7 linked regions of the Macaca fascicularis genome follow. The protein of the gene in region 1 binds, or shares a complex with, the protein of each later gene. Links are inferred from orthologs where the notes say so. Each region holds a gene or a part of one and is shown in the gene's direction. Other genes may lie near its edges.

Evidence for each region.
Region 2: the proteins of SFN (region 1) and AMOT are in contact, whole or in part, in a crystal structure (PDB 7NPB), measured with the Homo sapiens proteins. The link is inferred for Macaca fascicularis from reciprocal best matches to the Homo sapiens genes SFN and AMOT. Residues at the interface, in NP_006133.1 of Homo sapiens: Val46, Lys49, Asn50, Arg56, Arg60, Lys122, Arg129, Tyr130, Gly171, Leu174, Asn175, Val178, Tyr181, Glu182, Asp215, Leu222, Asp225, Asn226, Leu229, Trp230; in NP_001106962.1 of Homo sapiens: Val171, Arg172, Ser173, Leu174, Ser175, Glu176, Arg177, Leu178, Met179.
Region 3: the proteins of SFN (region 1) and RND3 are in contact, whole or in part, in a crystal structure (PDB 7OBC), measured with the Homo sapiens proteins. The link is inferred for Macaca fascicularis from reciprocal best matches to the Homo sapiens genes SFN and RND3. Residues at the interface, in NP_006133.1 of Homo sapiens: Lys49, Arg56, Arg60, Lys122, Asp126, Arg129, Tyr130, Glu133, Gly171, Leu174, Asn175, Val178, Glu182, Ile219, Leu222, Asp225, Asn226, Leu229, Trp230; in NP_001241667.1 of Homo sapiens: Asp236, Lys237, Ala238, Lys239, Ser240, Cys241.
Region 4: the proteins of SFN (region 1) and LRRK2 are in contact, whole or in part, in a crystal structure (PDB 5MYC), measured with the Homo sapiens proteins. The link is inferred for Macaca fascicularis from reciprocal best matches to the Homo sapiens genes SFN and LRRK2. Residues at the interface, in NP_006133.1 of Homo sapiens: Lys11, Glu14, Glu39, Asn42, Leu43, Ser45, Val46, Lys49, Asn50, Arg56, Arg60, Phe119, Lys122, Arg129, Tyr130, Pro167, Ile168, Gly171, Leu174, Asn175, Val178, Tyr181, Glu182, Asp215, Leu218, Ile219, Leu222, Asp225, Asn226, Leu229; in NP_940980.4 of Homo sapiens: Lys907, Ser908, Asn909, Ser910, Ile911, Ser912, Val913, Gly914, Glu915, Phe916, Tyr917, Arg918.
Region 5: the proteins of SFN (region 1) and GBP1 are in contact, whole or in part, in a cryo-EM structure (PDB 8Q4L), measured with the Homo sapiens proteins. The link is inferred for Macaca fascicularis from reciprocal best matches to the Homo sapiens genes SFN and GBP1. Residues at the interface, in NP_006133.1 of Homo sapiens: Glu14, Gln15, Ala16, Glu17; in NP_002044.2 of Homo sapiens: Lys210, Gly211, Thr212, Ser213.
Region 6: the proteins of SFN (region 1) and SOS1 are in contact, whole or in part, in a crystal structure (PDB 6Y44), measured with the Homo sapiens proteins. The link is inferred for Macaca fascicularis from reciprocal best matches to the Homo sapiens genes SFN and SOS1. Residues at the interface, in NP_006133.1 of Homo sapiens: Glu14, Asn42, Ser45, Val46, Lys49, Arg56, Phe119, Lys122, Arg129, Tyr130, Pro167, Ile168, Gly171, Leu174, Asn175, Val178, Glu182, Leu218, Ile219, Leu222, Asp225, Asn226, Leu229, Trp230; in NP_005624.2 of Homo sapiens: Arg1158, Pro1159, Glu1160, Ser1161, Ala1162, Pro1163, Ala1164, Glu1165, Ser1166.
Region 7: the proteins of SFN (region 1) and MLXIPL are in contact, whole or in part, in a crystal structure (PDB 8BTQ), measured with the Homo sapiens proteins. The link is inferred for Macaca fascicularis from reciprocal best matches to the Homo sapiens genes SFN and MLXIPL. Residues at the interface, in NP_006133.1 of Homo sapiens: Gly53, Arg56, Ala57, Arg60, Gln67, Arg129, Val178, Tyr181, Glu182, Lys214, Thr217, Leu218, Gln221, Leu222, Arg224, Asp225, Asn226, Leu229, Trp230; in NP_116569.1 of Homo sapiens: Arg117, Ile120, Arg121, Asn124, Trp127, Arg128, Ala129, Trp130, Tyr131, Ile132, Tyr134.

Annotation. Positions count from the first base shown.
Region 1 is NC_088375.1:208,247,500-208,251,068, reverse strand, and holds SFN (14-3-3 protein sigma), read left to right. Parts: upstream 1-1,615; 5' UTR 1,616-1,679; coding exon 1,680-2,426; 3' UTR 2,427-2,910; downstream 2,911-3,569. UniProt on the Homo sapiens protein: Adapter protein implicated in the regulation of a large spectrum of both general and specialized signaling pathways. Binds to a large number of partners, usually by recognition of a phosphoserine or phosphothreonine motif.
Region 2 is NC_088395.1:119,286,796-119,290,902, reverse strand, and holds part of AMOT (angiomotin), read left to right. Parts: intron 1-245; coding exon 246-478; intron 479-1,609; coding exon 1,610-2,362; intron 2,363-2,690; coding exon 2,691-2,788; 3' UTR 2,789-4,107.
Region 3 is NC_088386.1:46,018,400-46,022,260, reverse strand, and holds the end of RND3 (rho-related GTP-binding protein RhoE), read left to right. Parts: intron 1-1,128; coding exon 1,129-1,380; 3' UTR 1,381-3,188; downstream 3,189-3,861. UniProt on the Homo sapiens protein: Binds GTP but lacks intrinsic GTPase activity and is resistant to Rho-specific GTPase-activating proteins.
Region 4 is NC_088385.1:46,793,387-46,797,493, forward strand, and holds part of LRRK2 (leucine-rich repeat serine/threonine-protein kinase 2), read left to right. Parts: intron 1-2,585; coding exon 2,586-2,787; intron 2,788-3,826; coding exon 3,827-3,915; intron 3,916-4,107. UniProt on the Homo sapiens protein: Serine/threonine-protein kinase which phosphorylates a broad range of proteins involved in multiple processes such as neuronal plasticity, innate immunity, autophagy, and vesicle trafficking.
Region 5 is NC_088375.1:145,612,588-145,616,694, forward strand, and holds part of GBP1 (guanylate-binding protein 1), read left to right. Parts: intron 1-820; 5' UTR 821-839; coding exon 840-1,029; intron 1,030-4,107.
Region 6 is NC_088387.1:83,155,321-83,159,427, forward strand, and holds part of SOS1 (son of sevenless homolog 1), read left to right. Parts: intron 1-190; coding exon 191-272; intron 273-1,043; coding exon 1,044-1,166; intron 1,167-1,469; coding exon 1,470-1,573; intron 1,574-2,691; coding exon 2,692-2,914; intron 2,915-4,107.
Region 7 is NC_088377.1:52,470,988-52,475,094, reverse strand, and holds part of MLXIPL (carbohydrate-responsive element-binding protein), read left to right. Parts: intron 1-406; coding exon 407-489; intron 490-657; coding exon 658-747; exon of another isoform or gene 748-977; intron 978-1,056; coding exon 1,057-1,101; intron 1,102-1,955; coding exon 1,956-2,157; intron 2,158-2,299; coding exon 2,300-2,380; intron 2,381-2,530; coding exon 2,531-2,614; intron 2,615-4,107. UniProt on the Homo sapiens protein: Binds DNA as a heterodimer with MLX/TCFL4 and activates transcription. Binds to the canonical E box sequence 5'-CACGTG-3'. Plays a role in transcriptional activation of glycolytic target genes. Involved in glucose-responsive gene regulation.

The DNA of each region.
Region 1 (3,569 bases):
AGTGAAAGGAGCCGTACCCGAGGCCCATCTAAGCTTTGGCTAGGGGTGGGGCAGATAAGCAGGAATCCATCCCTGTAGGCTCAATGCCAACACCCTTTGGTGAAACTCCTGATGAAACTTGAGGCCAGGGCCCCAGCAAGCAGGGAAAGAAGGTTGGCAACAGAGGTCTCCATCTGAGGACTCTGCCAGGGGTCAGAGGTGGGGTAATGGTCAAAAGGAAGGAAGTGGCTCATGCCCATAATCCCAGCAGTTTGGGAGGCTGAGGCAGGAGAATTGCTTGAGCCCAGGAGTTTGAGACCTGCCTGGGCAATGTAGTGAGATCCTGTCTCTATTTAAAAAAAAAAAAAAGGAAGGAACAGGGAAACTTCTGAGAGACAGGCTGGGGGAGTAGCTGGGATTGCTGCCCCATAAAACAGAATGGTATGTGTCACTGCCACCTCCCTTTCTCAGTCCTCTCTCTCCCCAGGTTGCTAGCGTCCCCCCTGGGGGATCAAACTGGACTGCTTCCCAGCCTCAGACAGAGAGCAGTCTGAGTCAGGCAGGAAAGTGGGACAGCCGGGGAGCTGGACCCCACCCTCTGTGAACCCCACTGGTACCTGATGGCATGTGGCTTGGAGAGGGCAAGTGACCTGGTGTGGAGGGCCAGAGGGTAAATCCTCAAACAAGTGGCAACAGGCCACCAACTTGAAAGGGAAAATTGTGTAGTGATGGGAAATGTGTCCAACAAACCTACTGGGTGACTAATTACAAAGGCTGGGCTGGAGCGTCAGAGGCTGCTTGTTAAACACTTCATTAAGTGGCACTCTGAAAGCTGCCACCTGCGCATTCTGGGAGCTCAGAGGGGACCCTGAGGGGGAGTGAGGCCTGAGGGATGGAACCATCTTCAGGTAGATTGAGAAAGAGCCTGGATCTCACTTCCAAACACAGCCTGGAGCTCATAGGTCAGAGACTTCAACGGGAGAAAAGCTAAAGGAAGCAGGGTGCAGAAAGGAGTTTCAGGGAAGTGGTGGCTATGTGACTTTGAGCAAATCTCACCCCTCTCTGAGACTTAGTGTTCCCATCTCTGTGGTCCTGTGTGTGTCACAGAGACACAGTGGGGATTAAATTCGATGGTGAATATGAAAGTGCTTGGGAAACTCTATGGCCCTACCTAAACATAAGTTATCCTCACCTGAATCAAGGGGAGAAGTTACCTGGCAGGATTGGGAACCCCATCCTCCTGAACCTTTATGGGCTCTGTCGAGGCAGAAGCAGCCAGGGGCTAAAGCCGCCCTTAGCCTCTGTAAGGACGCTGTGAAGGAGGATCTGATTTGAGAAGCCAGGCAGTTTCCTGATGTGAGCAGCCATATGATGCCAGCCCCGAACAAGAGGGGGCAGCCTAGAGCCTGGAAAGGTGCCTGTGCAGGTGGGGCCCACGCCCAGATTTCTTCTGCTGACTGTTCTGATGACTCACCCCCACATCCCAGCCTTTTTACCTTGACTGCAGAGCCGGAAAGGGTGTGGGGAGGAGAGGAGAGGGAGGCAGGTCTTGGGCCCTGGTCCCGCCCCCTGCTCCTCCCCACCCTTCTCTGGGCCTGGCCACCCAGCCAAAAGGCAGGCCAAGAGCAGGAGAGGCACAGAGTCCGGCATTGGTCCCAGGCAGCAGTTAGCCCGCCGCCCGCCTGTGTGTCCCCAGAGCCATGGAGAGAGCCAGTCTGATCCAGAAGGCCAAGCTGGCAGAGCAGGCCGAACGTTATGAGGACATGGCAGCCTTCATGAAGGGCGCCGTGGAGAAAGGTGAGGAGCTCTCCTGCGAAGAGCGAAACCTGCTCTCAGTAGCCTACAAGAATGTGGTGGGCGGCCAGAGGGCTGCCTGGAGGGTCCTGTCCAGTATTGAGCAGAAAAGCAATGAGGAGGGCTCGGAGGAGAAGGGCCCCGAGGTGCGTGAGTACCGGGAGAAGGTGGAGACTGAGCTCCGGGGCGTGTGCGACACCGTGCTGGGCCTGCTGGACAGCCATCTCATCAAGGAGGCTGGGGACGCGGAGAGCAGGGTCTTCTACCTGAAGATGAAGGGCGACTACTACCGCTACTTGGCCGAGGTGGCCACTGGTGACGACAAGAAGCGCATCATCGACTCAGCCCGGTCAGCCTACCAGGAGGCCATGGACATCAGCAAGAAGGAGATGCCGCCCACCAATCCCATCCGCCTGGGCCTGGCCCTGAACTTTTCCGTCTTCCACTACGAGATCGCCAACAGCCCCGAGGAGGCCATCTCGCTGGCCAAGACCACTTTCGATGAGGCCATGGCTGATCTGCACACCCTCAGCGAGGACTCCTACAAAGACAGCACCCTCATCATGCAGCTGCTGCGAGACAACCTGACGCTGTGGACGGCCGACAACGCCGGGGAAGAGGGGGGCGAGGCTCCCCAGGAGCCCCAGAGCTGAGTGTTGCCCACCACCGCCCCACCCTGCCCTGCCCCCTTCAGTCCCCCACCCTGCCGAGAGGACTAATATGGGGTGGGAGGCCCCACCCTTCTCCCCCAGGCGCTGTTCTTACTCCAAACGGCTCCGTGGAGAGGGACTGGCAGAGCTGAGGCCACCTGGGGCTGGGGATCCCACTCTTCTTGCAGCTGTTGAGCGCACCTAACCACTGGTCATGACCCCAGCCCTGCTCTCCGCACCGCTTCCTCCCGACCCCAGGACCAGGCTACTTCTCCCCTCCCTCTTGCCTCACTCCTGCCCCTGCTGCCTCTGGTCGTAGGAATTGAGGAATGTCCCGCCTTGTGGCTGAGAACTGGACAGTGGCAGGGGCCGGAGATGGGTGTGTGTGTGTGTGCGCGCGCGCGCCAGTGCAAGACCGACATTGAAGGAAAGCATGTCTGCTGGGTGTGACCATGTTTCCTCTCAATAAAGTTCCCCTGTGACACTCCTCCTGTCTCTTTCCAGTTCTTGGCGATGGGTTGGGAGTGGAACTGGAATCTGATTTAGAGATCCTGACTTTCGACCTCTGAGTTAGGGCCCTGACCTCCCTGGGTGGCTCAGTGACCTGCACGCAAGACTTTGAGTCCAGGTGAGGCCGGGGTCCGGCTGTCTCCATCAGGGCGGCCCCAGTCAAACTGGATGGGACCGGGAGGGTCAGGTGAACCCACAGGAGGCGCCGAGCCTCCTCTGCAGGGCCGAGGGGAGGTGAGTGGGAGCCGCAGCGCGGGAGGCTGACGAGCTCAGGTGGAGCGGGACAGGAAATAGTGAAGTCTCCGGCATGAGATCTAAGGACAGCGCTGCAGTAGTGAGCGGCACTGAGCACCCGATTTACAGGCGGGTCACAGTCTCATCAAGGGCTCAGATCTCAGCGGAGGGAAGTACGATTTGAGGCAGGGGTGCAGTGCCGCCATAAAAGCCCAGATCTTAGGAGAGGGTCACGTCCCAAAGAGTTCGGAAATGGAGACAAAAGGAAACGGGCTGGTGGGGAGGAAGGACGAGCTGGGTGGGAATGGCCGCTGGGAGCATTGCCTGCCGAGCCAGCCGCCTCCGCTCTCTGCAGCCAGCAACACGCCGGAACCTGCGGCCGCATTGCTCGGTCTCGCCTTC
Region 2 (4,107 bases), on another chromosome or scaffold:
AAGTTAAAGTGATTCTCCTGCCTCAGCCTCCTGAGTAGCTGGGACTACAGGTGCCCGCCACCATGCCCAGCTAAATTTTGTATTTTTAGTACAGACAGGGTTTCACCATGTTGGTCAGGCTGGTCTTGAACTCCTGACTTTGTGATCCACCCGCCTTGGCCTCCCAAAGTGCTAGGATTACAGGTATGAGCTACCGCTCCTGGCCGCAACAAGGTCTTTATATGTTCTTTGTCTTTGGTTCCTAGGATTAAGACCCTACATGCCCAGATTATTGAGAAGGATGCCATGATCAAAGTACTCCAACAGCGTTCCCGGAAGGAGCCGAGCAAGACAGAGCAGCTGTCGTGCATGCGGCCAGCGAAGTCTCTGATGTCCATTTCCAATGCTGGATCAGGCTTGCTCTCCCACTCATCCACCCTGACTGGCACCCCCATCATGGAAGAAAAGCGAGATGACAAGAGCTGGAAGGGGAGCCTAGGTAATGACAGTAAATAAGGAAGATTATAGTCATGTGTTCAAAGAGAGCCATGAGACAAGCACCCATGCTTAAGGAAAAGGGATGATGGTCCAGGTTCTGGAGAGGAAGGTGTACCAGGGTTTTGGGTTCATATTCCTCCTGAGACCCTAGTTCCACATTCTGGAGCTCCTCCACACTTTGAAGTCTCCTGGTGAGAATACTGATTGAGGCCAAAGCCTAGAGGACAAGAATCTTGAGTTTCATTTGGGTGTGAAGGAAGGTAACTCTAATTTCCTCTAAAATATTCTCACATTTGACCTTTGCCATGTGGCACCTTTATCTTTCTCCAGAACCCATGTGGCCTTTTTGTCATTCAGAATTTCAAAATTCCAGCATTTCTGTGTTCCTTCCTCCTGTATAATAGGAGAACCCAGAGTTTTAGTTACGCTAAATCGTTTGGGTAGCAGGTTTTGTTCCCACAGTGTTCTGAGATGAGAACAGAATGTACTTTTTCATTCCATTCCTGTCCATTCCCTCCCCTCTAATCAAAACCCCAGACATATTGTGGATACCACGGGCACATTTTTAGAGCCTGAGGAAGGAAGCTTATATGTATTTTTATTTTAACCCTTTTTGTTGCTTTTAATTCCTTTCTTGGTCCTCTGATACTTATAATATCTTTTGGTTAGAATAAGCATTTTGGAGACTATGGTCATGGTGAGAACCTTAGATCACACAATTATTACCACACTTAATCTGTGTCAATAGACTTATTCTCCAAATCCTTTCTTGCTCCCTGGTAATGTGTGGTAATGGTTTATAAGTGGAGCCGAGTAGGAGCATTCTGACAACTTGGTGGAACCCAATCACCATTGGAAAAATAAATCAAAACAGATACCCAGGTCACTTACAGGCTTAATATGTTGTGCCAGGTGATGGATGAGGACCAGAGGGATCTTCGAAGTCTGTAAGAAACTTTTAGCCATGGTTGGAGGAGCCTCACACACTGATTTCTGGGTTCCCTGGAGGCAAAAATAAATAATTTAGACACATTCAAATTTCTTCTGAAATTTGAATGGGAGAACAGGTAATTAGATGTCTGGATTTGAATCACCTATTTTTTTCTAATGTCTGTTCCCCTTTCATTTGTAGGCATTCTCTTGGGTGGAGACTACCGTGCTGAATATGTCCCTTCCACACCCTCGCCTGTGCCCCCCTCGACTCCCCTGCCCTCGGCTCACTCCAAGACAGGCAGCCGAGACTGCAGTACCCAAACTGAACGTGGGACGGAATCGAACAAAACTGCAACTGTTGCTCCCATCTCTGTTGCTGCTCCAGTTGCTGCCGCCGCCACTGCTGCCGCCATCACCGCCACTGCTGCCACTATCACCACCACCATGGTAGCTGCTACTCCAGTTGCTGTTGCTGCTGCTCCAGCTGCTGCTGCTGCTGTTGCTGCTGCCCCGTCTCCAGCCACCGCTGCTGCTATTGCTGCTGCTGTTTCTCCAGCTGCTGCTGGTCAGATTCCAGCTGCTGCCTCTGTTGCCTCAGCTGCTGCCGTTGCTCCTCCTCCTCCTCCTCCTCCTCCTCCTCCTCCTCCTGCTGCTGCTGCTGCTGCTGCTGCTGCTGCTGCTGCTGCTGCTGCTGCTGCTGTTCAGGTTGCTCCAGCTGCTCCGGCTCCGGTTCCAGCTCCGGCTCTGGTTCCAGTTCCGGCTTCAGCAGCGGCTCAGGCTTCTGCTCCTGCTCAGACTCAGGCACCAACTTCAGCTACGGCTGCAGCTCCAACTCCAGCTCCAACTCCAACTCCAGCTGTGGCTCAGGCTGAGGTTCCTGCAAGTCCAGCTACCGGTCCTGGACCACATCGTTTGTCTATACCAAGTTTGACCTGCAATCCAGACAAAGCAGGTAATTATTCCCTTTAGCAGGTAACTTTTGGTTTAGTTCTGCTCTCAAATACAGATTTATTTCTTGTTGCCTGATGTCTGGGCAGAGTTATCCTTTGGACTGAATTTTTCATGTTCTAAGGGAGAGAGAAGAGAGTCTGTAAATGACTTCTCATCCACCAAGATGGGAACAGGCATGAGTGGAGGCCATTATCTTAGCAGAAGTAAATGAGGGAGGTGACAAGTCTCACTTTGCCATTGGCTTCATGAGGGCTCTGATGGTGTCTAGTTCTAGAAATACAGGTTTTTTCTTCATCCCTAAGTGTTTTCTAACCCTTATTTCCATTTAGATGGGCCTGTGTTCCACTCCAATACTCTGGAAAGAAAAACTCCCATTCAGATCCTGGGACAAGAGCCTGATGCAGAGATGGTGGAATATCTCATCTAAACGGCCAATTCAAGAGCTGCAGATTCTCAGCAAAAATGCTTTTAATCATTTCCCCCTTTTATTGGTTCTTGTTTTGGGGGTGAGGACAAGGGTTGGGGGGAGGGGATGTTTTTTAACAGGACTTTTTGTTGGAACAATGTACTACTTGAGTAATACCATGTGAACCACCAGTCTATTCTGGTATGCTTAGGGAGTACCTCTAAAGACAGATTAATCAGAATGTGCTCTAAAGCTTATTGTTTGAATTTATACAAATACTGGGACTGTTAACGGGTGGGCATACATCAGTGTTTTCAATGTGCTTAAATTTGTTTAAAATTTCCATATTCTAGATCATTTTTAACTGAAGAGCACAGTATGTGTGGAAGACAGTGTGTAATACGTAGTTTGGAAGTGGGAAGCTGGAGAGAATTGAGTGTGTGCTGTCTTGTATAGTTACTATCCTGTGCAGCAGCCGGAGAAAGCTCTCACCTCAGGCTTATAAAAGGGAATAGTTTCAGGAGCTATGTAAGCTGGAAAAAAGGTAGGGAGTTTTGGGGTGCAGAAGGGTGCTGGAGCTAATTTTTTCTTCCAATTTCCCATCTACCCTGCCCCAGGGAATTGTGTTTGTCTTCATTTCAGTGGTGCTTTGGAAACGGATTCTTTTGGTTCCCTCCTGGAGGTTCATACATTCATATATATGCTCTGGAATAATTTATGCATTTGGATAATTAATATATTGCTTTCAGATGCTGGGAGAGTACATTAACTGAGTGATGCACAACTTCCTCTCTCTTAGGGAGTTAGACCATCAGAGGCCTTGATGGAGACTTGCGTGAGGTGCTATATGCAGACTTTCATGGTCTGTGTGTAGCCATGAACATAGCTTGCTTGCATTTATTAAGACCAATCAGCTTAGTGTTTATTTCTTCTACAGCACAGATTCACTGGCTGGGGCTCCAGTCTCAAATTGCCAATCATTTGCAAAGTGAGGAAGGATCTTTGTTGACAGGTTGAATGCTTTGAATTTCTGGTGACTACTTTGAAATAACTTGTTTTGTGTGTCAAATTCTAAGCATATGTCTTAAAAGGCATTTTTGACTATCATCTCCAAGGGAATAACATGAGAAACCCAAAGTACTATGCTGCAGTCGGGGGAGAGGTGGATTGCAGCAGTATCCTCAACTACCTCTTCTCACTGTCAGTGACTCCATCTTGGAATACCTTTGGGAAGCAGCGGGAAATGTGCATGTGGGTAGAGATCAAAGGAGGCAATGGTTCCAAGCCTTGCCATAGGGCTGCCTCCAAGAACACAGAAGGATGCCAGTTGCCACAGGTCC
Region 3 (3,861 bases), on another chromosome or scaffold:
TCAAAATCAGTAATACTCTTTAAGAGAGGTAATCTGATTTTACAGTCGGCAGTGCAATAATAAGGCTGTTTCCAGTAAACTGGAGCACTCCGTAACACCATCTTTCAGAGAGTCTTCATTTCTATAGGCATTTCCCCCAAGTATTTAGAAATGAGAATCAATTTCAAAAGCTCATTCTCGTAAAACCTACAACCAGAATCTAAAGAGAGTTCATGTTGAAATACCAAAATTGTATTAAGAATCATCATTTTAAATACTGCAGTCTTCTTAGTCTTCCATTTCTCATTAGCAAAAATTTGGTATTTTAAATAAGTAGTTTTGGTTGATGTGCACATGTTTATTGTTGCGTATATTGGTGGTATGGTTCACACTTAGAAATTACGTATTTTGTGTTTGATATAACAGATGTCACAATAGTATTATTCCTTTCCTCAACTTATTTTGGCCCTAAGTAAGACACAATCACGTACATTTCAAAATCAATTTTAAATTTCATTCATTACCCTCGTTTTCGGTACAACCTAGTCACTAGTCTTGAATGCCATTTACCCTCAAGAAAAGAGAAATGGAGTCCCCCAGGAGACGCTGGAACAGGTTCTCAAAGCCACATCGCCACAGCCAGAGCTGTGTGGAAAATGTGGAGTTTATGTTCATGACCTTCAGCTAACTTACTTCACCAGTAAGATTCTCTGGGCCATTCCATGCTTGCTGTGACCCTGGAAAGCCTGAGTAACCAGTTAACTCTTGCTTGCAGTTGATAGTGAAGATGAATCACCTCGTTAGCTCCACTCTACACCTCTTTGAATCACCTCATATTAAGTGTTTGATAATGAATGTCCTCATTTGTTAAGATCAGCCTTTAGCATTTATTCAGAGCTCTAACACCTCTAATGAGCCATGAGAGTTGGACATCTTAGCGATTGGCTCTTGACTGCCAATATTTATGAAGTAATAAATAAGGCAGTTCAAATTTTAACAACTTTTATTTTTGCAGTGACACTTGGAAAATTCAGTTAACATATCAGTAAACGTTTTGCAATGCATTATTATTTTGTGGTATTAGAAGACACTAGCTAACTTTCTCCCAAAGTCTTATTGCTGATTAAAATCCCTTCTTTTGCTTCTCAGGGGGCAAATATGGCCAAACAGATTGGAGCAGCTACTTATATCGAATGCTCAGCTTTACAGTCGGAAAATAGTGTCAGAGACATTTTTCACGTTGCCACCTTGGCATGTGTAAATAAGACAAATAAAAACGTTAAGCGGAACAAATCACAGAGAGCCACAAAACGGATTTCACACATGCCTAGCAGACCAGAACTCTCGGCAGTTGCTACGGACTTACGAAAGGACAAAGCGAAGAGCTGCACTGTGATGTGAATCTTTCATTATCTTTAATGAGGACAAAGGAATCTAGTGTAAAAAACAACAGCAAACAAAAAGGTGAAGTCTAAATGAAGTGCACAGCTAAAGTCATGTATACCAGAGGCTTCGGAGGCGTTTGAGAGGATACTCATCTTTTTGGAATCCTGTCCTTAGATTCGGCATGTAGACCAAGTGGTGAGAATTGAATACGTGGAAGAGTTTTGAAGTGTGACTTGAAAAATATGCCAAAAAATGGAGATACAAATGAGCTAGAGGAAGATGAGGGGGGATGCGAGTACCTCCAAGAAGAAAAATCACACTCTGAATGGTGCTTGCATTTTTGTTGGGTTTTTTTTTTGTTTGTTTTTGTTACAATCTATTCATGGATCTCTACTTTGATTTAATTTTTAAATGTTTTACTCTCCTTTACAAAAAGTATATGTTAATATACCGTCCTCACTGGGGAACTGGCACTGTGACTTTAGCATTTAGTTTTCTAGAGGATGTGATCTAATTTCTTTCTAGCTCATCATTAAAATGGAAATTGTATCAGGACCCATGGGGATATATCCAGAGGAAAACTTTATGAGGCGTTGAAATCTTGCCTTCCTGAAGATAGCTGAGTAGGATGGTTCTAAGGAAAGCCTTTGCAATCTTGCAAGATTTGTAGACCAGCACTACAAAGATCGCATAGATCAAATAGGAAAAAAAAGTGTCGATTTTTATTCAGTCTGATGGTTCTGTTCTTCATTGTGATTGTCATTAAAAAGTGGTAAATTGCTCAATGTAATATTTTTGTGCGCTGTTTAGAAAAGAAGTTGTGTGATTTTTTTGCCATCGTTGATAAAAATGCAAAGTCAAATAAAAGGTGTCTTGGTTTGACGTCATAGAATGATCCAAGGAGAGAAAAAAGGTAGTTACTGTTTTCACCAGAAGAGGTAATGAGTGAAGGAAAGAATAGTAGCGGAAAGCACAGTTTGTGAGTAAAGCTGTCTGGAATTAAGTTACCAAAAATACAAAGCAAAAGGACTATTATTTTGGGTTGGAGCTCCAAAACTGGCAGCATCTGATGATCTGTTGGTTTATTTCACTTTCATTAAATGAACATTGATGAGAGAAGAATTCACTTACCCAAGCTTTAGAGAATCCCTAGTGGAAGATTATATAATAGAGTTTCAGTCCTGACACAACACCAGGGCATTTCTAGAGCGTGATTGCTAAAACCTCACTGAGCAGACGCAGCCAAGGTCCATGTTCAGCACTTGGTCGCTGTTGTTACGTAAAATAAAAGCATTTAAAATAGTTTACAGATATTTTTGACCAGTTCATTTTAGAGATTATTTCAGAGAAGAAACCAGATCTGACCTGTTTATTGTTGGCGCTTGTTGAAAACGAGCTTTCTTTCCCATGATAATGCTTCGTTTTTGAAGTGTTGAAGCTGTGCTCCCCTTAAATTGTGGCAGGAGAGATTAAGGTAATTACAACACTCAGTTCTATGTCTTACAAGCACTTTGTTTTGTCTCTGCAAGAAAATACGATTCCAGTCATTTCCCATAAAATACAGACATTCTACCAACATAATATGCTTTGATTGATGCAGCATTATGCTTTGGGCAGTATTACAAAATAGCTGGCGAGTGCTTTCTGTATTTAAATATTGTAAAAAGAAAATAAGTTATAACTGTTATAAAGCAGAACTTTTGTTGCATTTTTTAAACTGTTGAAGTCACTTTGTATGTTTATTTGGTCAATGTTTCTGCAGTATTTATTAAAACATACTTTTTTTTTCTTCAAATAAAAAAGTAACCATGTCTTTGTCTAAATGTGATCTGTCTTCTATTACCTGCTTCCTGATTTCGCTGTTTAGCTTTGTTCTTTAACATAGGTGATTACAGAATCAAAATGCCTAACATTTTCTAAATGAGAAGGCTTTGGAATTTTTTAATTCTTCATAGTAGTAACAGATAAACCTGCATATATAAAAGGTTTTCATGATGCTTTCAAATCACAAGAAAAAAAAATGGGGCATAATTAGATTAAGTGATTTGATCATATACGAAAAAGAGCCCTGATACTGCCTAAGATTAACTTGTAGAAAATACGGAAGTCTTCAAGTATTTAAGAATGAAGCAATATGATGCAGTCTCAAGTCACAGGTTTAATGCTAATACGAGCCTAGTTTGCCTCTCTGCCCTGTGGGGTTCTGAGCCTTGGTCTTTAACTCATGCCACCTCGCAAGGCATGTCCATGTCCTTGTTCACAGCGGTTGTGGGGATGACCCAGCACACAGCTTTTGCAACAATTGGAAGGATTAAAAAAAGCAAAACAGAAATTGTCTTGCATATGGTAGTAGCATCTTTAAATAACATAGTACAACATAATACAAGTTTCCCAATGACCTGGGAGATGTACAGTAAGCATAGAACTTACCGTAAAATAGAGGACTCTCTCCCCATAAATCCAGTTGATTCTCAGTCTTCAGCTAAAATACTTATT
Region 4 (4,107 bases), on another chromosome or scaffold:
GAAATATTCACTGGGATCTACAGGGAGTGTGGTGTAAACTGTACTGAAAAATACCCTTGATAGTTCCATATGACAAATATAATGATGAATTTCACTTAGTCCCTCTTGGCTTAGCTCATTAGCACTAATGATCAAGATCCTGGCTGATAAATAGAGTCCTATTTCGCCTGGGCAGTACCAGCGTAATTATTAATAGTGTCCCACTATATTCTCAAAAGCATTCCAATTTGGATGATAAATTATATAGTCACCTTGGTTATAACTCCGCGTTGGCCAGTTAGCTTACATAATCCATTTATATAGATTATGTGTGCTTCTCTGCAAAACCTAATGAGCCATTTGTAAAAGTGATGGATTTTGCGGTGTCCGGGGAGAGAATTTGTATGTTCGTGTCCTTCAGCACACATTTATTATAGTTATTAAAAGGTTTTATTGATGATAGACAGTAATGTCATGTAAAAATGACATTATTTATTTGTAGATTTTCCTATTCTCTTGTTGGACATGTAATTAGAAAGTAATATGACTTAAAGAAAAACAAATACACAAAATTTATTCATCCAGTTAATCTCTTAATCGAGGTTTTTTTTTTTTTTTTCTGAGACTATACCCATACTTCAAAAACTTTGTTGTTACTGAGAATATTTTGATAATTTCCCTTTTCGTCATTGCTGTCAGATAATGTATCATATCTTTAAAAAGACTTGTTGGAGGACGAGTTTGTTTTGAAAAGGCCTGAATTTAGTTGATGCAAAGTCACAGATAAGATGGCTCATTAAGCTGTATTAATACTGCTTTTGTCTAATAGATATCATTACCAATAAATCAGACCAGATTTCCTTTTGGCACTTGTAAATCAACTTTGAAGACAACTTTTTACAAGGAAGTAAAACAAATGCTTTGAGAAATACCAGTATTAGTGAAAGAAAAGTATATATTGCTAATGGATGCAGCATTCTGGCATAATGGTTTGAAAACTCATTTGATTGCTTTGTAGAAGAGTGACTCTTTCGGAGGACCCAGGGCCTGTGGGCCTGCCAGAACTTGAAAATTCTTTCTTCCCTGAGGTGCTTCAACCTGAATTCAAAGAGCAGCTTTTAATCTATTAGAGATCTTTTTTTGTCCTCTCATTTATTTTTCATCTTTCCCTTTGATCTTAGCTCTTCTCTAATCTTTTTCTGTCTCAACCTTATTAACATGTGTCTGTGCAGACACTTTAAGTTTTATTTTTTTGACTCAGCCTGTCAGTGAACTGATTATCATGCTGAAAGGAGAAGCAGGACAATACAGAGTTGAATGCCGACAATACTCCTTTTAATCTTGTTCAGCCCATTAGCAGAGCAGGCATCCCTTTAGGCTTTGAGACCTAGTCCCCTAAAACTCATCCCGTTTCTACTTGATTTGCTTTCTTTGAGAACTCTTGTTTACTTTTATATGGAGGTTTCCCTCCTTGGATTAAAACATAAACCTCAATCTGAAGTTCCATTTCATCTTAATTTATGAACAACTCTGAGAGGGAACATGAAAAGTGGAGATTAGTGAAATTATCTCCAATTCTCTGGGTCAAAAGATACACGAAAACAGTCTCTTGAGTAACCATTTACAGGTAAATACAGAAGTAATGGTTATGGTTGTCTCCTTAAGGTTTTAGTCACAAATGAAAAAGACCAAGTTAATTTTTTGTCTCTGTGTGCTGAATTTCTGTTTGTAGTAAGTGTAAGAATTTAAGCAGAAATGCTGTTTCTTATTTTCAGGTGAAAAGAATATGTAATTTCCATAGGCCCAGAAATAGGGAGAGTTTGCCATCTGGTGGTTCTTAAAGGCATTGCGGATGTTATTAAGAGTTGCTTTTCTATTTAAAATTATATTTTAAAAAATGTTTGGAAGATACTTTTATTATAGAAACTATCCTCTTAAGCCCATTCTTTAAAAAATCTTCTTTTATGCATTTCTCATTTTGTAGACAGTGATTAGATTCTAAAAGCAACAGAACAATGATCATCCTCTCCTAGCAGAATCACTGGTGTTTAGATGATTTCTCATTTTCCCAAATACTCCATGAACAACATAGCTTGAGTGGGATCTTATGTCTCCAGGTTTCACTGTTGATATATGCATCCCATCAATATAACATTTTACAAATAACAAGCACAAAATTTAATGTTTTACCTTGAATATTTAAAATATAATATCCAAAAGCTCTTGTAATTTGTACTGATATCTTATGCTAGCGTGTCTGTTTCACATTAAGTTTAATGTCTTAAGATATAAAAAATCTTTCTTATGGTTAGTGATTTATCTTGATTTTTGCCATGGAATTTCTGTGTAGCAAGATAAACATTTCCATACCATTTTATTTGATATTTCCTAATTTGCCTCTGGATCAACAGTTTTCCTATTTTAATTTCATTGTACTTATTCCTTACAATCTAAATAGCTTTTTATTATATTTTGATTTTATTTAAAAATGTACTTCTGAATAACATATCTGTTTCTGTAAAAACTGTTAGCACTGAATTTGCCAACCATTTGACACATACACGAATAAAATAGATTTTTACGGCTTGTCATTTGTAATTTCATAGATCCGAGATCAGCCTGTTGTTGGACAGCTGATTCCAGACTGCTATGTAGAACTTGAGAAAATCATTTTATCGGAGCGTAAAAATGTGCCAATTGAATTTCCTGTAATTGACCAGAAACGATTATTACAACTAGTGAGAGAAAATCAGTTGCAGTTAGATGAAAATGAGCTTCCTCACGCAGTTCACTTTCTAAATGAATCAGGTTTGTGTGTTTCTTTCCTTACTTTCAAAGCTCAGCTGTAATAACTTATAAAAGTGTTTCTGAATCTTGTATAGAATTTACATTCAAAGCTGAGAGAATATCCATACAGTTCTTTAATAGGGCACTGATTTTTTTCTTTTTGGAGGATCATCATGTGTGTGGATGATAAATCATGTATCATGTTGTAAGAAAACAAATTTAGAAATCACCTAGGAGTAAAGTAGTGGAAAGATTCCCTGAGTGGGAGTTAAAATATTTGGGTTCTAGAACTTACTTGTACTATTCAGGAGCTGTGGAACCCCAAGCACAACCATATCCTTCCATAATGTCAAATGAGTTTAGTGCATGTGAAACTTATTTTTATATTGCAAAGGGGAATTATTGTTGGAATGGTCTAACTGGGACGCTTTGAGAATCAATGGCTCCCTGAGATGATGCAGCTGCTGAGTGGAAGATCTAGCTCTCTTTCATCAAATATTGGTCTCAAAGATGAAAATTCTCAAACCAACTTCAGTGCTAATTGTGTACTTGATCATATTACTTTGCCAGAAATGTGTGAGTTGTTTGATAGTACTAGAGTAAGTGACTGGGAAGCTGCTTTTGATCCCTAGATTCTGTTGTGTGAAAAATAGCTTCCTGTGGTTTATGATCTGTTCCTTTTCCCCATTGTTCTTAAGGTATGCTGAAATATGCTGTGTTTCTTATCTGTATTTGAAAATAAAACATGTCTTTGTAGTGTTTATTCAGCAAGCAAAACAGAAAATTATGAATTTCTATGTATGCATGAAATATGCTTTGTAATGCATGTCAGTGTCTCAAATATGTTTATATATGATTGTTTTATGTAGTTTAAAAATACTCCATTATAATATTGGGACTTTAGACCATAGGATGCACAGCTTCTAGTCCCAGCTCTGCCACTAGGTATGCTGAAATTTCTTTACCTGTAAAATGAGGAAGTTGGACTAGATTCTTTCTAAAGCCCCTTGATAGTTGTTCTACATTCCATGTTTCACTGTTTGATGAATTTTTACTACAGGAGTCCTTCTTCATTTTCAAGACCCAGCACTGCAGTTAAGTGACTTGTATTTTGTGGAACCCAAGTGGCTTTGTAAAATCATGGCACAGGTTGGTGTCTTTTATTTTTGTGGCACGGGGTTATGGTCAAAGCATAGAACAGATGGCGCCCAGAGCATTGAGCATTTTAGAGTTTGGGTTTAGTTAAGGCAGAAACTTTTGTGAATTTAGAAGACTGTGGAACATTTCACATAGAAGACTACTTGAAGAACTTCATGGAAGAAGGAAAGATGTCTTGAGTTC
Region 5 (4,107 bases), about 63 Mb from region 1:
CAGTGGCGGGCACCTGTAGTCCCAGCTACTCCAGAGGCTGAGGCAGGAGAATGGCGTAAACCCGGGAGGTGGAGCTTGCAGTGAGCTGAGATCCGGCCACTACACTCCAGCCTGGGCGACAGAGCAAGACTCCGTCTCAAAAAAAAAAAAAATTCATGGCACTTCTCTTGGACATGCCCCTTCAGAGCCCTCCGAAGGTTCCCTAGCCATGTATTTCACATGTTTGTATAGTTCTATAAAGTTTACAAAAGTATGTTACATTGTTTCCACTTCCAGAATGGCACTGTGAGAAGCTTTGTCAATCCTCATTGCAGTGAAATAAGCATAACCAGTTGAAGATGGAGGAAGGAACACATTTAAAAATCTTTGAAAATTATTCTAAGGGTAAACATCAAACTATGAACACTGATTCACTGTGTTGGATGTCTATTCACTGTAAGAATTAATAAGTAAATCAATATTGAATTCCTTACAAATAGCTAGGATGCAAAATAAATCCTCTAAATCCTATTCTATCTTCCATTAATTGACTAGTGAAAATATTTAATAAGAATCCAAAAAGAAAGTTTTCTACAATAAATTAAATGAAATATTTGGGTTGTGAGAGTAGTTGAGTGTTGATAAGTCACTGTCATGCTAACATTTTTTGTAATGAGTTACTTTGACTATACTTCCATAACTTTCTCAAATGATACAGATTTTGCCTCATCTCTCTCGCTGTCACACACAAAACTTTTGGCCATACTGGGAAATCTTATGATTATCCCTTATAGTTGCAAAACACTAGAAATTTTCATTTATTTCACCTCCTCTCTTGCAGACAAGGGAACACCCTGGACATGGCATCAGAGATCCACATGACAGGCCCAATGTGCCTCATTGAGAACACTAATGGGCGACTGATGGCGAATCCAGAAGCTCTGAAGATCCTGTCTGCCATTACACAGCCTGTGGTGGTGGTGGCGATTGTGGGCCTCTATCGCACAGGGAAATCCTACCTGATGAACAAGCTGGCTGGAAAGAAAAAGGGTGAGTGGCATGAGCAAAGATCTGCCAAGTCCCTTCTGTCCATCTACACAGTCAGCATCCATTACAAGGGTGTGAGGAGAGAAAGAGATGAGGATGATTACTGAAAGCTAACTTTCCATTCACAGTCGGGCTCCTTATCTTCATGCTATTCCAGGGGATAAGATTCAATTCATTAATTATTCCATGATACCTTAGTTTCCCTTTCAAAAGCACAAATAATGCCTTTCCTGAAAGGAGTAAGACGGTAATAAAAATAATTAGTGTACAGAAAAATAACTATAATAAACTATACAATGTTTATTATAATTTTTATGCAATATCAGAGAGTTTACAGTGATCTTTAAGGTTGAAAAAATGTTTCAGTCTGTATTGGATATTCTTTTCTATTGTTGTAAAAAATAAACATAAAATTTAGCCTCATAACCATTTTTAAGTGTACAGCTCTGTGGCATTAATGACATTCACACTATTATACAACTGTCACCTCCATCCATATCCAGAACTCTTTCATCTTGCCTAACAGAAACTCTGTACTAATTAAACAAAAGCTCCACATAAACCCATTGCTTGCCATCATTCTACATTCTATCTCTATGAATTTGACTACTACAGAAACCTCATATAAGTGGAATCATTCAATATTTGTCCTTTTATGACTGGCTTATTTCAATTCATATGTCTTCAAGGTTCATCAGTGTGTTAGCACATGTCAAAACTCTTCCTTTCTAAGGCTTAGTAATTGTACGTGTATACTAATTTGTTTATCTCTTCATCTGTCAATGGCCACTTGGATTGCTTCCACCTTTGTCTGTTATAAATAAGGCTAATAGGAACATGGGTGTCTGAATATCTGTTCAAGTCCCTGCTATCACTTCCTTTAGGAATATATCCGGAAGGGGAATTGCTGGCTCATGCAGTCATTCCATGTTAACTTTTTTTTTTTTAAGAAATCACTATACCATTTTCCACAATTACTATACTGTTTTACATTCCCAACAGAAATGTACAAGGGTTCTAATTTCTCTGCATCCTCACCAACATTTTTTATTTTCAGTGTTTTTTTTTTTTTTGATAGTGCCCATATGAATGGATGTTAAGTAGTATCTCGTTGTGGTTTTGATTTTCATTTCCCTAATGACTAGTGATATTGAGCATATTTTCATGCGCTTATTGGTAACTTGAATATCTTCTTTGGGAGAATGTCTATTCAAGTCCTTTGTTCATTTATTAATCTGGTTTTTATTTGCGTTGCTTTGTAAATTTTTTTATATTTTCTAGATATCAATCCCTTATCATATACATGTTTAGCAAATCTTTTCTTACATTCTATGTGATGCCTTTTTTAACTCTGTCCGTAGTGTCCGTTAATACACAAAAGTTTTAAATTTTGCTGAAGTCCCACTAATCTATGTTTTCCTTTATTGTCTATAGTTTTGGTTTCTTATTAAAAAAAAAATCACCAAATCCAATATGTAAAACTTTTACCCTTTGTTTTCTTCTACAACTTTTATAATGTTAACTCTAATGTTCAGTTATTTGATGCATTTTGAGTTCATATTTGTAAGTTATAAGGTAACAGCCCAACTTTTTGTTTTTTGTTTTTTGTTTTTTTTGAGACAGAGTCTTGCTCTGTTGCCCAGGCAGGAGTGCAGTGGCATGATCTCGGCTCACTGCAAGCTCCACCTCCCAGGTTCACGCCATTCTCCTGCCTCAGCGTCCCGAGTAGCTGGGACTACAAGCGCCAGCCACCATGCCCAGCTAATTTTTTGTATTTTTAGTACAGACGGGGTTTCACCTTGTTAGCCAGGATGGTCTCGATCTCCAGACCTCGTGATCCGCCCACCTCAGTCTCCCAAAGTGCTAGGATTACAGGCATGAGAAACTGTGCCCGGCCAACAGCTCAACTTTTTAAGGAGATATCTCATTTCCTCAACATCATTTGTTAAGGAGACTCTCCTTTCTTCATTAAATGATCTTGACACTGGTACTGGAAATCATCGACCATATGTGTCAGAGTTTATTCATGGGCTGTCTTTTCTATTCCATTGGTTTATATGTCAGTCTTTATACAGGTACCATACATGGTTTTGTAATATGTTTCAGAACTCAGAAACTGTGAGACTCTAACTTTGCTCTTCCTTTTTAAGATTATTTTCATCATTAGGGGATCTCTGGAAATTTCATATGAAAGTTAGGATGGATTTTCTATTTATACAAAGTAATTGGAATGTTGGTAGGGATTACATCAAACCTGCACATCACTTTGGGTAGTAGTGACATCTTAAGAATATTGAGTCTTCCAATCCATAAACACAGGATGTCTTTCTAATAAGTTATGTCACCTATAATTTCTTTAAAGGATGTTTGAAGTTTTCACTCTACAAGTCTTTCACCTGCTTGGTTAAACTTATTCCTAGGTAGTGTATTCTTTCAATGCTGTTAAATGGGATTGTTTTCAAAATTTCCTTTTCTTTTTGTTTGGAAAGGAAATTAGAATTTCCTTTCTAATTCTATTTTTTACACTAGCAACTGATTTCTCCACATTGACTTTGTATGCTACAACTTTGGTGAATTGTTTTAAGAGTTCTAATCTTTTTCTGTGGAATATTTAATGTTTTCTACAAATTACATATTATCATCAGCAGAGATAATTTTACTTTTTCATTACCAATTAGGGTACCTCCTTTATGCTTTTCTTGTATAATTACTCTGGATAGGACTTGCAGTGTTCTGTGGAACACAATTAACAAAAGTAGGCACCCTTTCTTGTTCCTGATATAGGAAAAGCTATGATGCTTCACCATTAAATATGAAGTGAGCTGTGGATTTTTAATATATGGCCTTTATTATGTTGAGGTACTTTCTATTTTTACTTTGTTGATTATTTTTATCATGAAAGTCTCCTGAATTTTTCCATGCATTAGATATTCGAATTTCCTATTTCTTTGATTGTAAGTAAGTAAGGTGAATAGTGATTGTTGTTTCGGTTCTCTCTCTTAACCTTAAATATGTTACCTTTTCCTTCAATTGCCAGAACTGCCTGTTACTAGATCTTCATCTCTGGTCTCCTCTCTCCCT
Region 6 (4,107 bases), on another chromosome or scaffold:
TAATATCAATGTTTTCACCACTAATTTAGGAGGCACTAAGCTAGCAGTGCATTACCAAGCCCAGTCTGTTTGTCAAAACATTTTGGAACTTTTAAACTTGACTATTTGATCTATTTTGAAAATGTAAATAATAGTTTTAATCATTTTGAATCACAGAGTTTAATAAGATATTTTTCCTTTTTCTTCTTAGATCCCAATTTTGTTCGGACATTTCTTACAACATACAGATCCTTTTGCAAACCTCAAGAACTACTGAGTCTTATAATAGAAAGGTCTGTCCATTTAAAAAATATTTAAATTCATTATTTTTTGTTAAAAAAGAGATTAAGCTAAGATCTTATGTTTTTCAGAAATGTTAGATGAGCTTTAAAATATACTTCACGAGCACTTTTTCAATAAATAAAATCTCTTAAATGAACATTTATTTTGTTAGCTTTTATTATTTCAATACAAAAATTATTTTTTGTATGTGAAAACTCGGTATTTGAAATTTCAAATTTACAGAACGATCTATATAAAATTTATAATTTAGAGTTGAGAAATTCAAATTTTGATGAGTTAGATGTTCTAAGTAAGTTTTCAAACATACTTCATGTTGAGTAAAATGGAGCTTGTCAGTGAACAAATACTGTGATGGAAGGAAAATATTTCATGTACCCAAACAAAGAGCAGTCAGTTTTTCTGGAATTACCCTTAACAGTGATTATGTCACCTGATTTAGAGTAATTCCACAGACCAAAAATGAATATCAGTCCCATAACTTTATAGTCACATTTATTTTTAGAATTTGCATGTATTCTTTATTCTGTTTGTAGTTAGTTTTATCTATATTGGCAAGTACTAATTTATTTTAAAATTTTAAAAATAATTTTATTAACCTTTAATATTATAGAAGTCTCACTTATTTACACTGACATGCATATTTTTAGTAATTTTTTACAGTATTCTCTTGATTTTGCTGACAGGTGGAAACATTTGTGGTTTTCTATTTGTATAACTCGATATAATTAGTATTTTCATTAATTTGTTCTATTTTATGTTAGGTTTGAAATTCCAGAGCCTGAGCCAACAGAAGCTGATCGCATAGCTATAGAGAATGGAGATCAACCCTTGAGTGCAGAACTGAAAAGATTTAGAAAAGAATATATACAGCCTGTGCAACTGCGGTAAGCATTAAATAAATGAAGCAAATAAGTCTTTATCAAACTTTCATTTTAGTGTTGAAGTATATAAGGACCTTTCCCAAACAAGGAGCGGGGTGACAATAAAATTAATAAATTAAATTTACTAATTAGAGCAGTTATCAGAAATTATAGTGTAAGTCTTAATGTAGAATTTTGGAAGTGTTAGGCACCCTGATAAGAATAACTTGGTAAGAGTTACCGTGTTTTCATTTGTATTGTACCATGCATTGTGATAAACATTTATGTTTGATTCCCATGTAATTCAATTCTGTGTTAATGCTGTAGAGTATTAAATGTATGTCGGCACTGGGTAGAGCACCACTTCTATGATTTTGAAAGAGATGCATATCTTTTGCAACGAATGGAAGAATTTATTGGAACAGTAAGAGGTATGTTTTTTTTTTTAGGTGCTTAGTTTTATATGTAATAAAAGTACCAACACGGTGACTATCAATTGATGTTATTGTGGTTCAGTAATACGAGATGTTTGTAATAGTACCAGCATAACCATTTGAAAAAGTTAAAAATTTTCATCAAACAACATTTAGACCTGCAAATTGCTCAACAGTCACCCTGTTGATCCAATGTATTTTCATTTACTGAATCAACTTACTGATTATTTTAAGAGTTGGTTAAGCCAAGTCTTCATACATATCCCAAAGTATGAGGGCGTTTGGGAATTACGTTGTGCCATTATAACACCACTGATGGAGGTCGAGTGGGCCACAGGTGAATAGAGAGAATCAGAGAGGAAGCAGAGTGGATTAAATTGAGAGTTTGTGTCTAACACTACCACTGATCAGATATGTGACTTTGGGCAAAATCACTTAGATTCTTTAGACTTCAGTTTTCTTATCAATAACATGAGGAGCTAGGTTTGTTGATCTCCAAGGTTTTCCTTCTAGTTTTAAAGATTATATGAGTGTATAGCTCTAAGGATGTCTTAGACAAACTTATTTTTATTTCCTTTGTATGCTCTAAATGATAATCAGAAAATAGTTAAATAATAGTACTTTAAATGTACAATACAAAACAGAGCCACATCAAAACTCACACTAAAAATGAAGGAATCAGTCCTCTGGCACTGATATTTATTGATTTATAAAATGCAATGTGAATTAGATTAATAGTGTGTATAATCTATCCTTATAAATCTTGTGATTTACATAAGATATACCTTTTGGAGGATTATAAAATAATACATTAAACTGAAGATCAGAACAATGGGGTGGACAGTCTCTACAAATTAAGTACTTTCTAATTTTATTTGGAAAGGATCTGGAAGAACACGTGCCAGGCTACTAACAGTGGTTACCCATGTGGAGAAGAGTAGTAAGATTAGGATGGGGGCCGGGAAATGGAAAAAGGGAACTTGTATTTTTCATTTTGATCATTTGAACTTTTTATAGCAAAGATACGTTCAGGTATCATCTGTGTGATTTTAAACCATTTTAAAAATATTAAATAAAGAATATTTAAATGTTATTTAAAATATAATGTATTGCAGGTAAAGCAATGAAAAAATGGGTTGAATCCATCACTAAAATAATCCAAAGGAAAAAAATTGCAAGAGACAATGGACCAGGTCATAATATTACATTTCAGAGTTCACCTCCCACAGTTGAGTGGCATATAAGCAGACCTGGGCACATAGAGACTTTCGACCTGCTCACCTTACACCCAATAGAAATTGCTCGACAACTCACTTTACTTGAATCAGATCTATACCGGTATGTACTTTAACATTCAAGCTGAAAAATCATTTCAAAAGAGTGAATTTTTAAAATGAAATACTGATTTCTGCCTTACAGGGTTGTCCTAAGACTTAACTGAAATCGTACATGAAGTGTCTAGTAATGAGGCCAGGCAGGCACTTCCTGTTCTTTCACTCCCTTGGTCCCTCCAGCTGAATTTACACCTTCTGTCTTTCTGTGGTCACCCCTAGTTGGTAAGGCTAGGTTCAAATCCTGGCTTTACTAATTGCTGACCCTGGGCAACTTTAACCTCCTTGTGTAACTTTATCCTTCTGCCCCTTATTTTCCTCAAGAGTAAAATGGGGCTACTGATAGTACGTACTCCTGGGGCTGTTTTGAGGTTTGAAAGTCAATATATGTACATTACCTAGCACAAAGTAAGGGCTCAATAAATGTTGGCTACTGCTTTATTGTGAACTTATAGCCATTATAGTCTTTTTTAGTTTATCATACTACATTGATATAATTATCTCAAAAATGTCCTTCTGATTTTAAATGGGGACTATTTAGAATCTTAAACTAAATTATTCATTTTTTAATAGCTAAATGAGAAAATGAGCTAAATTTATAGATCTCCCACTAAAAATCATATTTCTGAAAATTACAGTATTAGAATCTATTTTGTTTATTTCCTAGGACCCTTTTGTGGTAGGTTTTTTTCCTCTCCTCCTTTAGACCAAAAAAAAAAAGATGTAGGAATTGCATTGATTACTGTACCCTCTTTGAACTGATTTATAACAGATATCATTACTTAAATGTCTACTTTGTCACCCTAATTTATTAATAATGTTTATAAATGCTGGAAAAGATATTATGGAGGAGTTTCAACCTTGCCCAAAGCAAAATGCTACTATAAAGCAACACTAAAAGTACACAGGTATTTCCATAAAAATAGTTTTTAAAAACAGTTTTTAAAGGCCGGGCGTTGTGGCTCACTCTTGTAATCCCAGCACTTTGGGAGGCCAAGGCAGGTGGATCACCCAAGGTCAGGAGTTCGAGACCAGCCTGGCCAACATGGTGAAACCTTTTGTCTACTAAAAATACAAAAAATTAGCCAGGCTTAGTGACGGGCACCTGTAATCCCAGCTACCCGAGAGGCTCAGGCAGGAGAGTCACTTGAACCCGGGAGGTGGAGGTTGCAGTGAGCCAAGATTGTGCCATTGCACTCC
Region 7 (4,107 bases), on another chromosome or scaffold:
AGACCAGCCTGGCCAACATGGTGAAATCCCGTCTCTACTAAAAATACAAAAATTAGCTGGGCCTGGTGGTGGGTGCCTGTAGTCCCAGCTACTCAGGAGGCTGAGGCAGGAGAATCGCTTGAACCCGGGAGGCGGAGGTTGCAGTGAGCCGAGATCGCGCCACTGCACTCCAGCGTGGGCAACAAGAGTGAAACTCCATCTCAAAAAAAAAAAAACAAAAAAAGATCTAGGAGGTTATCGCATCCGCATCCTCCGAAAAGACTTCCTGGAGGAGGCAGCATGGGCACTTAATCTGAACGTCCAAGGCCAAGCAGGATTTCGTAGGGTGTCACTTGAGTCCCAGTCCCCTGGGATGAGGTGGGGGATGAGGAAGCTGGGTGCCCCTAACCTGGCCCCCTTCTCTCAGATGTGGAGCGGAGGAAGAGCCCCGTGTGTGGCTTCGTGACCCCCCTGCAGGGGCCTGAGGCTGATGCGCACCGGAAGCCGGAGGTAGCTGGGTTCTGGACCGCCTGCCCACCTGCTCGCCTGCCCACCCACAAGACCAGCCCCTACCTCCTGTAGCCTTGCGCTGGGCAGACAGGGATGGGGTGAGGGGTGGGAGATGGGTGTGCGGTGCTCCCCTCCCTACTGATCCCCCTCCCCCGGCCCCCACCCCAGGCCGTGGTCCTGGAGGGGAACTACTGGAAGCGGCGCATCGAGGTGGTGATGCGGGAATACCACAAGTGGCGCATCTACTACAAGAAGCGGGTCAGTGGCAGGGCCCAGGGAGGCCCCAGAGCTTTCACCTGCGGCTGCCGGCTACTGCCCGCCTTGGAAGATCCCCGGAAAGGGGATCCTGACCCCCCAGCTTGCGCCCCTCGGGCCCTCCATTCAGTCCCGAGCCGACAGCGCCACCGTGTGGCCACAGGGCCTCCTAACAGCCTCCTTACCTGGGGTTCGGGGGAGCTCCTAATGGGAAATGGGGGATCTCACTGCTTGTGAGTAGGGGAGACTTTTGGGGGGAAGTGATGGAGGGTGGGCAAGGGATCCGGTGTCCAGCTCTGTGTGTCCCTGCAGCTCCGTAAGTCCAGCAGGGAAGAGGACCTCCTGGCCCCTAAGCAGGTGGGTGCTCTGTAAGTCCAGCAGGGAAGCCCATCTCTTCGCCCCCCAAGTAGGAGGCAGAGAGTTGAAAGCTTCCGCCTGCGTGAGCAGGACAGTGGCTGGGCGTGAGGGTGGGATGTGGGACGTGACTGCCGTCCTGTGGTTCATTTGTTGAGCTCTTTTCTTTTTGGGGGATGGGGGTGCGGTGGTGAGAAGACCCCAGGTCATTGAGCAAGTGGTGGGAGGTATGGGAGAACAGACGGACCAGGCCGGGCGCGGTGACTCATGTCTGTCATCCCGGCACTTTGGGAGGCCGAGGCGGGTGGATCACCTGAGGTCAGGAGTTCGAGACCAGCCTGGCCAACATGGTGAAACCCCATCTCCACTAAAAAAACAAAAATTAGCCGGGCATGGTGGCGCATGTCTGCAATCTCAGCTACTCGGGAGGCTGAGGCAGGAGAATCATTTGAACCTGGGAGGTGGAGTTTGCAGTGAGCTGAGATCACGCCACTGCACTCCAGCCTGGGCAACAGAGACTCCGTCTCAAAAAAAAAAAAAAGAAAAAGAAAAAGAAAACAAACAAAAACAAAACAGAGGGACCAAAGAACTGGGGTCCCAGACAGGAAAAAATCTAAAGGGCAGGAGGGGGACTCCTGTATCTGCATCCTGGTCTGTCTCCTGGGGGAAGTTCTTAGAGGCCAATGGAGTGATCCTGGCCTTTCAAGCAGCTAGCCAGGACCGCTAGGGAAAGGTGACAGAGGTGTGCACAGACAGACCCTCTGTCCTGCTGACCCCTTGACCCTGGAGAGGGGTGATATGGAAGTTCGGGGGCAGTGGGAGCTCTTCAGCGGCTGCTGACGGCTCTGTCTCCCTAGGCGGAAGGCGGGTGGCCGCCGCCGGAGCAATGGTGCAAACAGCTCTTCTCCAGTGTGGTCCCCGTGCTGCTGGGGGACCCAGAGGAGGAGCCGGGTGGGCGGCAGCTCCTGGACCTCAATTGCTTTTTGTCCGACATCTCGGACACTCTCTTCACCATGACTCAGTCTGGCCCTTCGCCCCTGCAGCTGCCGCCTGAGGATGGTGAGGGTTTGAGAAGGGGCAGGGGAGAGGGGTGAAGGCCTGTGAGATTCCAGGAGGCCAAGGGAGGGATGGCTGGGGATGGGGTTGGAGACCCCCACTCCTCCCTGCCTGCTACTGCTGATGTCACCACTGCTGCCTCTAGCCTACGTCGGCAATGCTGACATGATCCAGCCGGACCTGACGCCACTGCAGCCAAGCCTGGATGACTTCATGGACATCTCAGGTGGGGCGAGCCCCTCCCCAGGTAGGGTGGACGGGCAGGGTCCCTGTGAGAAAGGCCAATGAGCCTATCCCAGGCCCCTCTGGGGGAGCAGATAGTCTGGGTGATTTCTTTTTTTTTTTTTTTGAGATGGTGTCTGACTCTATCACCCAGGTTGGAGTGCAGTGATGCTAACCTCTTGCCTCCCAGACTCAAGTGATCCTCCCACCTCAGCCCCCCGAGTAGCTGGGACTACAGGTGTGCACCACCACACCCGACTAATTTTTTTTTTTTTTTTTTTTTTTTTTTTGGATTTTTGGTAGAGATGGGGTTTCACCGTGTTGCCCAGGCTGGTCCCAAACTCCGGAGTTCAAGTCATCCCCTTGCCTTGGCCTCCCAAAGTGCTGGGATTACAGGCATGAGCCACCGTGCCTGGAAGGTCTGGGTGGTTTCTGAGGGATCTTCCTGGTCTCCTTTTGTACAGCTGGTGTGGCCTCCAGTGAGGGCAGGGCCCAAGACAGTACCTGGCCAGGGAACCAGGGGCTCCCAAGAAAGCAGTGAATGCTGGGACCCTCTCAGGGGAGAGAAGAACTTTGAGTTATTCGGGTCTATTTATTTTTCACACAATGCATTTTAAAACTATTTGCTAGGCCGGGTGTGGTGGCTCACACCGGTAATCCCAGCACTTTGGGAGGCCGAGGCGGGCAGATCACGAGGTCAGGAGATCAAGACCATCCTGGCTAACATGGTGAAACCCCGTCTCTACTAAAATACAAAAAAAATTAGCCAGGTGTGGTGGTGGGCGCCTGTAGTCCCAGCTACCAGGGAGGCTAAGGCAGAAGAATGGCATGAATCTGGGAGGCAGAGCTTGCAGTGAGCCAAGATCATGCCACTCTAGTCTGGGCAACAGAGCAAGACTCCATCTCAAAAAAACAATAAAAAATAAAAATAAAAAATAAAACTATTTACTAGAGGACATTTCAACCATGCACACACTAGTAGAGAAAGTAGTTCAGCAAAAAAACTCCCAAGTCACCATCACTGATGTCATCGACTTATCAACTCTTGGCCAGTCATCTTCTTTTATTTTTCTCTTTTCTTTTTTTGAGAAGGAGTCTCACTCTGTTGCCCAGGCTGGAGTGCAGTGGCACAATCACAGCTCACTGCAGCCTCAACCTCCCAGGCTCAAGTGATCCTCCCACCTCAGCCTCCCGAGTAGCTGAGACCACAGGCACGCAGCCCTATGCCTGGCTATTTTTTTTATTTATTTTTTGAAGAGACAGGGCCCCCCTGTATTGTCCAGGCTGGTCTAGAACTCCTGGGCTCAAGAGATCCTCCCACCTCAGCTTCCCAAAGTGCTGGGATTACAGGTGTGTGCCACTATGCCCAGTGTGTTATTTTAAAGAAAATCTCAGGCATCATATCTTGTAAAGCTTTTTTTTTTTTTTCTTTTGAGACAGAGTCTTACTCTGTCACCCAGGCTGGAGTGTAATGGCTCCATCTTGGCTCACTGCAACCTCTGCCTCCCAGGTTCAAGCGATTCTTGTGCCTCAGCCTCCCGAGTAGCTGGGATTACAGGCTCATGCCACCATGCCCAGCAAATTTTTGTATTTTTAGTAGAGAGGGGGTTTTGCCATGTTAGCCAGGCTGGTCTTGAACACCTGACCTCAAGTGATCCTCCCATCTCAGCCTCCCAAAGTGCTGGGATTATGGGTGTGAGCCACCATGCCTGGCCTAAAGCAATTTTTATA